Mus musculus: one gene and its partner. The main gene of each other region encodes a partner of the protein of the gene in region 2 in a complex. Links are inferred from orthologs where the notes say so. Each region holds a gene or a part of one and is shown on either strand. Other genes may lie near its edges.

Evidence for each region. The genes of interacting proteins can lie anywhere in the genome.
Region 1: Ralgapa1 (region 2) and Ralgapb share a complex: the UniProt entries of both Homo sapiens proteins name them as parts of the heterodimeric RalGAP1 complex. The link is inferred for Mus musculus from reciprocal best matches to the Homo sapiens genes RALGAPA1 and RALGAPB.

The regions. Positions count from the first base shown.
Region 1 is NC_000068.7:158,407,573-158,413,253, forward strand, and holds the start of Ralgapb (ral GTPase-activating protein subunit beta), read left to right. Parts: upstream 1-2,280; 5' UTR 2,281-2,531; exon of another isoform or gene 2,532-2,874; intron 2,875-5,681. UniProt on the Homo sapiens protein: Non-catalytic subunit of the heterodimeric RalGAP1 and RalGAP2 complexes which act as GTPase activators for the Ras-like small GTPases RALA and RALB.
Region 2 is NC_000078.6:55,817,198-55,823,029, reverse strand, and holds the start of Ralgapa1 (ral GTPase-activating protein subunit alpha-1), read left to right. Parts: upstream 1-1,862; 5' UTR 1,863-2,262; coding exon 2,263-2,368; intron 2,369-5,832. UniProt on the Homo sapiens protein: Catalytic subunit of the heterodimeric RalGAP1 complex which acts as a GTPase activator for the Ras-like small GTPases RALA and RALB.

The sequences.
Region 1 (5,681 bases), on a different chromosome or scaffold from region 2:
ATAAAAAAGAGTATTAAAGCATGATTAAATTTCATGTTATAACGTGGAAAAGAATTCCAGTTCACATTTGTATGTACTATGGCAGCTGAGGTACAGATATATGTGAAAACTTCTGGGGCTGGAGAGATGGCTCAGGGGTTAAGAGCACTAACTGCTCTTCCAGAGGTCTGGAGTTCAATTCCCAGCAACCACATGGTGGCTCACAACCATCTGTAATGGGGTCTGATGGCCTCTTCTGGTATGTCTGAAGAGTGCAATGGTGTACTCATAGATATAAAATAAATAAATAAATAAATTTCTAAAAAAATGTAAAAAAAAAAACCAAACCAAACCCAAACCAAAAACTTCCTAGCTGGGTAGTTAGGAGTTTTAAAACTTCTATTTGTTCTACTTCTATTCTCTTTTACAACAGTTCATTTTTGTGTATGAAATAAAAATGATAAGAGAGCCTCGAGTTGGAACTGAGCACAACTTCTTTCCCTCATTTAAAGGAATGGAAACCTCTCTCCCCTGTAGCTTCCCTACAAAAAAACTAAAGAACTAAGTCTGCCATGAATTAAACTCTCAAGGTGGAGGGACTAGAGGTATTTTCATTTTTCCAAGTCCTTTTTTTTTTTTTTTATTTTGAGACATGGCCTTATGTAGCCCAAGCTGGCCCAAAGCACTCTGTGTAACAAGTTCAAGGATGAATATGCTACTACATATGGTTTGTGTAGTACTGGGAATCAAACCCAGGACCTCAAACACACCAGGCAAATACTCCACCAACTAAGCTATGTCTGCAGTTCCATGTGCTTTAAAAAGATTCCCAGTCCTCCGTGTCTGTCACTTTTCCAATTCCCATCACCCACTCCTCTTCAACCCTATCAGTCTGATCTTCCATAGATGTTCAATATTCGGTGTTAGGAATGTGGTCGCAAGTAACAGAAAACTCAATGGATTGTGGTATAAATAAGGCCCACCACCCTCTTTAAAGCAGGAAAGGAGTACAGAGTCCATGCAGTTTCCTTGGTGTGTCCTAAAGAGGCAGGTTTCTTTGCCTTGTTTTACATTTATAGTAGAGTCTTCTGCAAGATCTCAGAATGACTGCCACATCTCCTGGCATTGTATTATACCATGGTTCCAATCATGAAGTTGGGGAAAGTTGAAGGACACAAAATTTCTCAGGACTTCCTTTATATCCTAAGTCTCCCTTGGAACTTTGGTTTATGCTTTATGGACTAGAACTTTGTTTCACTGGTATGCTGTCAAGCAGGGGAGGGGGCTTTGCTTTTTGGCCTCTGTAGTGTAGAAGTGGGAAGGAGAGAGGGGCTTGGAATAGTGACCATGTGATAAAGCACTTATCAAAAACTGTCTAATTGAACTTTACTGCTTCATCCACACACTGTCCTGGCACATTGTTACCCACCCCTTCCCCTCTTCCTGTAGGTGAGGTTGTGGTCTTAAAGAATCCTTGTTTTATCTCTTCTACGAGGGCACTAGTTTCTTCTTCACTCCTACTTGGTTCATGGTCTCTTCTGAGGATGACAGTCACCGTTTTCTCTGCTTTCCATACAAATGTGTTTTTTGCACAGCCTAACACCCTGATCCCTCCACCTCTGAGTTCCAAGGTCAGTCACAAGGCCAGGCTCTCTATGAAGCTGTCTCCATCCCTCTTTCCTCTCAGCCTGACACGTGGGGAGTACGTCTAAAATGTTGTTACTTTCCTCGTGGAAGTTGAAACGAAATTCTTGACAGTGGTACTGTTTGCAAAACGTCCGGTGCATGGCAGGTGCTCGAACTTGTATCTCTTGTTAGTAATAGCTTATCTCCCCGATCAGATACAACTCGTTGGTGACAGGTTCTGAATCATCCTTTTAAAGCACGTCAGGCCTGGCGAGGACATTGCCCATAATAATGCTGCGCCCATGTAATAAGGGGCTGGGCAAAGGAAGAGCTACAATGCTGAGATGTGAGACATTCCTTTAGCCTGAATGGTAGCCAACTTTTCATAGAGAAGCCCCTTACTCTTCTGCACTAAGAACATGTAGAAGCCAGATTGCTTCTGGAGCTGGCACCGCGATGACGTAAGTGTCCGTCACTTTACTCCTCCCACTCCACCGAAGCCCGAAAGGGGGCGGTGTGGGCAATCGCGCTTCGCGCGGCCCTCTGGGACGGCTGCGCACGCGCAGCTTCCGGCTCCAGGCTCGGAGACTTATTTGACGCTGCCCACTCGGTCCCTTCAGAAGTCGCGGGTCAGCAGCGCCGCGCAGGCGCAGTAGTCCCTTCGGCTGGGGAATTATTTGACGCCACCGCCCCTGGCAGTCGGAAGTTGCTTGAACGGAGCCCAGCCGGCCGGCCAAGCGACCGGTGTTCGTCGTCCCCTGGGCGCCCTGGGAGAGTCACTGACGGGTGGACGGACTGACTGCCGGTGGAGGGCCGGCCGGGGCAGTGGCAGCGCGGGCCGGATGGCGCGGGTCGCGTGAGGCGGCAGGCCGAGTGCGGCCCGCGGTGCGCCCGCCCAGCGATGCGGGCCCCGCCCGTCGCCTCAGGTACGCGGCGGCCGGCGCGGTGCGGCCGGACCCTCCCCTCTCGCCGTGCTTTTTTTTTTTTTTTTCCCTCTCCTCAGCAGCTACTGAGGCAGGGGCTCTTTGAACCTCCGCTGCTCCCGGGGCCGAGCGTCGGCGGGCGCATTCCTGGGTTCTGAAGTGGCCGCACCGGGCGCGGGAGCACAGTCCTGGCCCGCGGATTCTGCCGGGTGTGAGCGAACCCGGGAGGGTCGGACTGGCGGAGCGCCCCCCTGGCAGCCTGGGGACAGGGGCGGGTCTGGAGTGGCAGCGGCAACTCCGGGGAGGATGCGGTCCACCGAGGGGCAGGTGGAGTTGCTGCCGTCCGGTGAGGATGCTACTGCCCAGGGCACGGTGACGCTTGCGAGGAGAGTAAACAGCCACCCTCCGCAAATGCTTGCTTTCCGCCAGGCCCAGGCCAGATAGGGAATTTGAGCACCCTGCACGGCAGGACTGTTACCCCATTCTACGGACCAGGCAACCGAGGCCCAGAGCGATCGGGCGCCTTTGGTGCCCAAGGTCATAGAGCTGGGTAATTTGAACTCAAGCAGCCTTGACAGTCCGATCCAGGTTCTTAACCAATTAGGTCATTGGATGTCCAACTTTGATGCACGGTAAAAATCACTTGGGGAGTTTTGAAAAGATTCCTGGTGCCATAGCACCTCAAACTAATTAAACCACCATGTCTAGAGGGTAGGGGGAGACAAATACTAGTATCTTTCTAGTATTTGTCTTTCCGGAGATCCCCTAGTGGTTCTGGGCTATAGTGAGGTTTGACAAGTGTGAAAGCATGTAATCTCAGAGGTCTGACAGTGCCTCTCCAGTTTATGTGTGCAGGAGGATGCTTGTTAAGATCGTGGATTCCACTGGCAGAAATTCATATTGTCACTCCCTTCCCCCCAGCGCGCCCTTGTTCTATTGCTGGAACTCTCCATTTCTCTGCCTCAGCCTCCTGAGTGCTAGGATGGTAGCTGTTCACTAAGAGAGAACTTTTCCTTAGATCCACAGACTACCACCCCTTTGGTAGGTAGGCCTCCTTGAGGGTGAGACCCAATTATGGATTCTTAGCAGAGCTTTTAAAAAAAATGTATACATTCCTTGCAAAAACTGTTGGTTTACAATTTCCCATAATATACGGCACTCATGGTTATGGTTTCTCTAGCCTCTGGACTTTTGCATACACTGTTCTTTCTACAAGACAGGCCTCCGTGTTTTCTCAGCACCCTACCCGAACACATACACCTTCTCATATGCATCAATTCTGTCTATTGCCCAGCTCTCAACAGTCCCTTCAAGATCCTCTGCCTCCCCTGAGCCCTGCCCATCTTGGCATTATTGTAGAGTAGCTGACCACATGTTTTTCTGTGTTGTACTCCTAAGCTCTTCTGTAAGGTTTTGATGGCAGGGACCATGCTTTTCTTGGTGTCTGTCTGTCTGTCTGTCTGTCTCTCCCTCTTGGAGTACTTTGACATCGAGGCCGACAAACATTTTTTGAATATAGTGTTTAGTCCCTTTATGTCATAGACCTCATGCCGCAGAGGCATCTGTTTTCTTTTTTTATAAAAGATATTTGCTGTTCTTAACATTAGGGTTTTTTTTTCCTTTTTCCTTAGGAATACTCTAGTTAAGTTTATTCATTTATTCAGCAGATGAATAAAATGTTGAATTCTTATCCATGACAAGGCACGATGTAAGACCATGTTCCAGCAACATTGGTTGGTTTAGCTGCGTGAGGTGGCACACGCCTTTAATCCCTGCACTCAGGAGGAAGAAGCAGGTGTATCTCTTTAAGGCCAGCCTGCTCTGCACAGTGAGTTAGTGACAGGATAGCCAGGGCTCCATACAGAGGCCTGCCTCAAACCTCCACCCAACCAATCAACACACAAAAACAAACAAAACAAGAACATTGGTGAATTTTATTGTTAACTTCCATGTAGACAGTCTATTCTATAGTGAGAGACTTTTTATTGCCATTGGGGTTTTGCATGTGGCCTTTCCTCATTGTCTAAAAGAAGTGTTGTCTAGATGCTATTGCCTTGTATGTATCAACGCACGCAGTTATAGTTCATCCCATCTGATGGGAGACAGTCAGCTCTGTATCAGAGCAACAATACAGACTCGGTGTAGTTTATTACATAATGTCTGAACTGCCATTGCTGCACATGCTTACCAGTTTTAAAGGAAGTCAGTGCAATAATTCTCATTGCTTCTGTTTTTAGTACCGCCCCCTTTTTTGGTAAAATTTATTTTTATGTTTATGGGCATTTTGATTGCATGCATGTATGTGCACTACTTGGATGTCTGGTGCTTGCAGAGGCCAGAGGAAGGTGTCAGGTCCTCTGGAACTGAAGTTACAGAGGGTTGTGTTCAGGTTCCATGCAGTTGCTGGAACTTGAACGTGGGTGCTCGGCCAGAGCAGCCAGTAAGTGCTCTTAACCACTGAGTCAATTCTCTAGTTCTTTGTTCTTGGTTATTCTTAAAGCCGTATGAGATTAAGTAGATTAAATATTATAAGGTCATTATGAAGAAGTTTGTTTACAATGAAGAGTCCCCCTACCCCTATCTTTTTATATTGGTATTGGGGGTTGAGTACAGACCTTCTATGCAAGTGCTGTACCACTGTGTTTTGATTCCCATTTTATTTTATATGTGTGTGTGTATACATTTTTTTAAATTCAATTTTATTATTTTTTCTGAATACTGTTTTACTATGTAGCCCTGGCTAATCTAGAAATGGCTATGTAGACCATGATGTTCTTGAACCCATGGAGGTTTGTTGTCTCTACCTCCTGAGAGATTAAAGGCATGTGCCACCATACCTAGCTATAATTTTTTATTTTGAAACAAGGTCATACCAAGCTATCTGGGTTGACCTTGAACTTAGTCTGTAGCTTAAGCAGGCCTTGAATTTAGGGTCCTTCTGGCTCAGCTTCCTAAGTAGCTGGGATTGCAGGCCTATACCAGCATGCCTAGATGGGATATTTCTCCCCAGTTAAATGTGATGTGTATAGATTGGATAAAAATACATATTTCATAAAGTAATTTTAACAGTATAGTATTGTTAGGGGAAGGTTCTCTTGTCTCTTATATACGGTTTGCTTGGTGTTTAGGCTGAGGCTAATAGAGAAAGTGATG
Region 2 (5,832 bases):
CACACTGGGCAGAGCTTGAGCATATGAGACCTCAAAACCCACCTCCACAACAACACAAGTCCTCCAACAAGGCCACACCCACTTCAGCAAGGCCACACCCACTTCAACAAGGCTACATCTCCTAATGGGCCAAGCATTCAAACACATGAATCTATGGGGACCATACCTATTCAAACCTCCGCAAGATTATGTAAACATTTTAAAGTATCCTGCTATTTTTCAGAAGCCTCCTACTAATTACTGCTATTCTTAATAGGCCGTGGGAGTTCCTACTGTTGCACTCACTGGTGAATTACTATTTGAAGACAAAGGCTACTGATAAAACAACACATCACTGTTTTTATGTACATTTCATGTATTCTGTAGATTTGATGTAAAATTCTAAAAGAAGGGAGCTGTAGAGATGGCTCACTAGTTAGGGGAGTATATGCTCTTGCAGACAACCCAAGTTTGATTTGCAGTACTGAGGCTGGGTGGCTCACAACTGCCTATAAGTACAGCCTCAAAAGGCATGTTTGTGTAGATGCTTGTGTGCATGCACGCACGCGCGCACACACACACATTCACACACACTCACAGATTCAAAATAAAAATCAATCAGCTCAGCAGTTAAGAGGACCTAGGTTCAATTCCCAGCACCTCCATGGCAACTTGCAGCTGTCTGTAACCCTAGTTCCAGGGGATCTGATACCATCTCACAGACATATATGTAGGCAGAACACCAAAATAAACAAACAAACAAGCTGGACAGTGGTGGCACACACTTTAATCTCAGAACTCTGGAGGCAGAGGCATGTGGATCTCTGTGAGTTCTAGGCCACCTTGATCTACAGAGTGAGTTCACAGCCAGGGCTACACAGAAAAACCCTGCCTTGGAAAACCAAAACGAAAAAAGCAAATGAATAAACAAACAAATAAAATAAATTATTTAAAGTCTCTAAAGAAAAATACAAACAAAATTGTCTAACAAATATTAATTCAGAGTGACGGAAGATAGATCAGCAGGGGACTGGGCACTAGGGACAGGCAAAGACAAAAAGCCAGAGTTTGTGATTACTACTTGTGTTTTGTAGTTTTTTGTTTTGTTTTGTTTTGTTTTGAGACATGGTCTAACGTAGCTGCCATTGACCTTGAATTATGTCTTCCCAAATCCTAGTATGACAGCAGAGCACTACCACACTTAGTTAATTGTTTTACTTGGATCTTACACAGCGTTCTTTGGATTTAGGTGAGTATTTCACATCTAAAGACAGCCTTCCTTTAAAATCATCCAGATTTCTTAATTTTTTTTCTCTGATATATGGTAGGATGCATTTACTTGTACAAGATATTTTATTTATTTATGTCTGTTTTCTTGGTGCTGGAGATCTGGTGCTAGAGCGAACTGCAGCTCTAGCCATGTGCATGTTAATTTAAAGGAAAAGGATGCAACACTCCCACGCATCTCTAAAGTACAGTACATTTTTAATCATTATTTTGCAAGACGCAGGAAGAATCCAAATTAGAAAGTGAACGGTTTGCAAAACACAGGAAATATCCAAATTAGAAAGTGAAATGACGTCAGAGCCAAGGCTTCAGAGCTAGTATCAAGCTGGCCTTGCACATCTGTTCTGATGTTTAAGTTACTCAGAGCGGTTTAAAGAGTGGAGATGAACGACTTTTTCAACAAAAACTCTAGGAACCGCTGTTTACAAGGAGCACACAGTAGACAACACCTTCCTTAACTTTCTTGCCCTTCTTCATTACTACAGACACAGGAAACCAAGAGGCTATAGAGGCAGGAATGAGCTCACGCTGACATGACGTCACGAGCACTTGACGTCAGAAGGCGGTTGCCACGGGGACCGTTCGCCACCGACGGCAGAGTCGTGAAACTCCATCACCACACGACTCGGTTTTGGCCTCCGCGGGGTTGAAGCTGCTAGAGACGCTTCAACCTTAAGGGGGCCTCAGGGAGAGAGGAGTGGCGCCGCGGCGGAGCGCTCCCTCTCCGCGGCTGTGGGGATTCCTGCCGCGGCCTGGGCGGCGGCGGCCGCTCCGCGTCTCCTCGTCGCTGCAGCGCGCGGGGCGGATCCGCCATATTGGAGCCGGGGCTGCAGGTTCCGTGCGGCGGCGGCGGCGAGAGGCGGGCCTGGCAGCGGGGCCCGCGCGGCAGCGGCGGACGCGGGGGAACGCATGAGCCGCCGCGGCTAGCCTCTTCCCCGCCCACCGCCTGCGCTGGGTCGTCGGGACCCGGCCGGGAGGGGCCGCGGCGGCCGCAGGATGTTCTCTAAGAAGCCGCACGGGGACGTGAAGAAGTCCACCCAGAAGGTGCTGGACACCAAGAAGGACGCGCTGACCCGCCTCAAGCACCTGCGCATCGTCATCGGTGAGGGGAGCCGCGACCCCGGGGCGCCGCCGCGGCGGCCTTGCTGCCCCCGGCCTGTCACCCCGCGAGCTCCGGGCTTCGCCCTCGCGACCTGGCGCGGTCGGGAGTGAGGGCCGGCGGCGCCTCTGCCCACGCGCGGGCGGGCGGCGAGGGAAGGGGACAGCTTGGCAGTTGGTACAAATCAGTCAGCACCAGCACGGAGAGACCCACGTTGGAGTTCCTGGTCTGATTGTTTAAAAAAAAAAAAATGACAGTCAGGCCAGAAACTTAAGTCCTTGATGAGACTTCAGGGACACTTGGCGTTGTGGGTAATGGTGTTTAGAGGGTGTGCTTGCCATCTGACTACTGCCATCCCCACCCGAGTGCAAAGCAAAGCAAAGCAAAGCGCTGGCTCGGCCAGTGGAACCCGTAGTCTTTCAAGTTTTTTTGGCAGGTGAGGGCCCTGGAGGAAGCAGTTGCACCTCTTTGGGAAGTGGGTGGTTCCTGAAGCTTGGGGAAAGAACCCCGCCCTATACACCCTGTTCTTCATTTGCTGTCCTTTAGGAAGAAAACTAATTATAGAGAAGAAGGTTCTCGTGAACGATACAGAATTAAGTTTTCATTAAAAATTTCTTACTCTCTGCCGTCTCATCAACTTTAGTGTCTCTGAAGACCGAAGCAAGCTAGATTTGGGATAAAGTGTTAAGCGAGGATTTTTGGATACTTGGTCATAGACAACTTGGATTTTTTTTTTTTTTTAAATGAAGAAATTTTGAGGTAAAAAGGAAAGTTGACCAGGGCTTAGACATATAGAATGACAATAGGATAGCTGAGGTTAGATCTCAGATGTCTGAATTCTAATTCAGAGTTTATCATCTCAAGCTGTCCTCCTAATTTCTGTCTGTTTTGGAAAGTGACTTATATGTTTAGTGGTGTGTCCTCTGTTTCATGGATGGATTTCTCTACTGTGTTGTGACTAATACCACCAATGATACCCAACATTTGTGTGGTGTTTTGCTGTCTACAAAGGGTCTCACATGAATTAGTATAATCCAACATGACCATCTGTCTAGAAATAGAGATATTATTTGCCATTTTAAAAAATATATAAACAAAAAAGTTGAAGATGGATGGAGCTGGTGGAGACTAACGACCACAACGAAGCCTAGATTTTCTGTCTCTGATTTGTTTTTCAGCCTTCCTACATGTCTGACAGCTAGTCTTAGTTATCACAAGTACTTATACCTGTGGTATAGTGAGAAAGCAATTAAATCCATCTTATGTAAACCATTTAAATATGGTAGAGGTTTTTAACATTTCCATTTTGGAGTTAAGTCATTGAAGATTTGCGTGAAAAGATATGCTGAGACACGCAAAGTCATCGGCACGTAAATGTATTACAAAATAACGGCCGTTTGAAAGTGGACACTTGGTGCAATCTGACTCTCACTTGAGACAAGCTGTAGATTGCATAAATGCAGTTGTAACTATAAAGCTGAGTTACAGCAGGGTATTGAGAGTTCCTAAATTACCTGCCACAGCATAGAGGGTTTTGTGGTTGTGTGTATGTGTGTAGTGTGTGCATGTGTGTTTCCTAACTTGGGAAACATCAGATGTATTACTACCACACATGTTGGATATTTTGTAGGACCTGGCTTCCTCAGTTCGAAAATGGAATACTTAAGAAAGCAAAAAAACCTTTTGCTTTCATAATTTAAGGAGTCTTTTAAGAATGAAATCACCAGGAATGTCTTACCTTTCACAACTTTCTTATGTACCTGTGCCCTGTGAGAAGCCCACACTCAAGTGTAGAACCACAGTGCTTAACCAAACACATTGTGCCAAAAGCAGTTATCATGTCTGGAAACACTTTTTCTGTGGAGAGTTGCTACTACATATAAGTATGCTAAATGCTGCTAAACAGAAAAGTCCCTCACAACAGTACCCATGCCCTACATATCAGAATAGCATATTCTGAGGCCTTGTCATAATGCATACTAAAAGATGAACTCCCAAATGCTAGGGTTAGTTTTAAGTTCTCTCCCTCTCTGCCTCAGGGCTAGGAATTGACCTGGGGACTCAAGTGTGCTAGCAGGCCTGCACTTTGCTGCTGAGCAACATTTTGGCTTCAATATTTAATGGTTACAGTTATTTCATTTAAAATAAGATGCCTGGCAGTGGTGGCGCACACCTTTGATCCCAGCACTTGGGAGGCAGAGGTAGAGGCAGGCAAATTTCTGAGTTTGAGGCCAGCCTGGTCTATGGAGTGAGTTCCAGGACAGCCAGGACTGCACAGAGAAACCCTGTCTCAAAAAACCAAAAAAAAAAAAAAAAAAAAAAAAAAAAAAAGGAAAGAAAGAAAGAAAGAAGATGAGTGGGAGAAAGATAAAGTTGAACTCCCTTAGAGGCTTGCTCACTGGTTCCTATTTTGTAGTTGAAAGAGTCATTTTAAATCCCTTTTGGAAATAAATAGGGTTTTAAGGAAATACAATGAAGAAACTACTTAGTCTGCTAATAACACAGAATCATATTGGACCAAACAAAAGTACTGTGCACTAGGGGTAATTATAGAAGTCAGTACATGCATAAAATAGTGACTCCCTTAGAAAAAGTATGTCCAGACATGATCGACATGTCTCCTGTAGGCATCACTGATCTACAGCTGCTTTAGTGTGGTCTTCTATATAGGTCCTTACTCACTGGGTAGAGGTCTGAAGGAATATCCAACATTTGAAAGATGGCTTCTTCAGTGCTTTTCATTTAAAGAAATGTATATTTTTATTTTTCATGTTAGTATGTATGCCTGTGCATTACATATGTGCTTTGGTACTCACAGAAGCCAGAAGAGAGTGTTTGATCCCCTAGAACTGGAGATGCAGATAGTTGTAAGCTACCATATGGGTGCTGGGACTTAAATCTCTAGGTTCTCTGGAAAGTGGCCAGTGTTCGTTCGTTCTTTCTTCTCTCTCTCTTTTAAGATTTATTTACTTATTATATGTACACTGTGGCTGTCTTCAGACACACCAGAAGGGGGCATCAGATCTCATTACAGATGGTTGTGAGCCATCATGTGATTGCTGGGATTTGAACTCAGGACCTCTGGAAGAGCAGTCAGTGCTCTTAACTGCTGAGCCATTTCGCCAGCCCACAGCCAGTGTTCTTAACCATTGAGCTCTCTCTCTTTTGCCTGCCTGCCTGCCTGCCTGCCTGCCTGCCTTCCTTCCTTCCTGTCTTAAGTCCTTACATTATTAAAATAGCAAATCAAGGGGTGTGTGTCTTCTTTCGCTTAAAAATTATTATATAAAAACTTAAAACTTGCTGGGCGTGGTGGCACATGCCTTTAATCCCAGCACTGGGGAGGCAGAGGCAGGCAGATTTCTGAGTTTGAGGCCAGCCTGGTCTACAAAGTGAGTTCCAGGACAGCCATGGCTATACAGAGAAACCCTGTCTCAAAAAACCAAAAAAAAAAAAAAAAAGCAAACAAA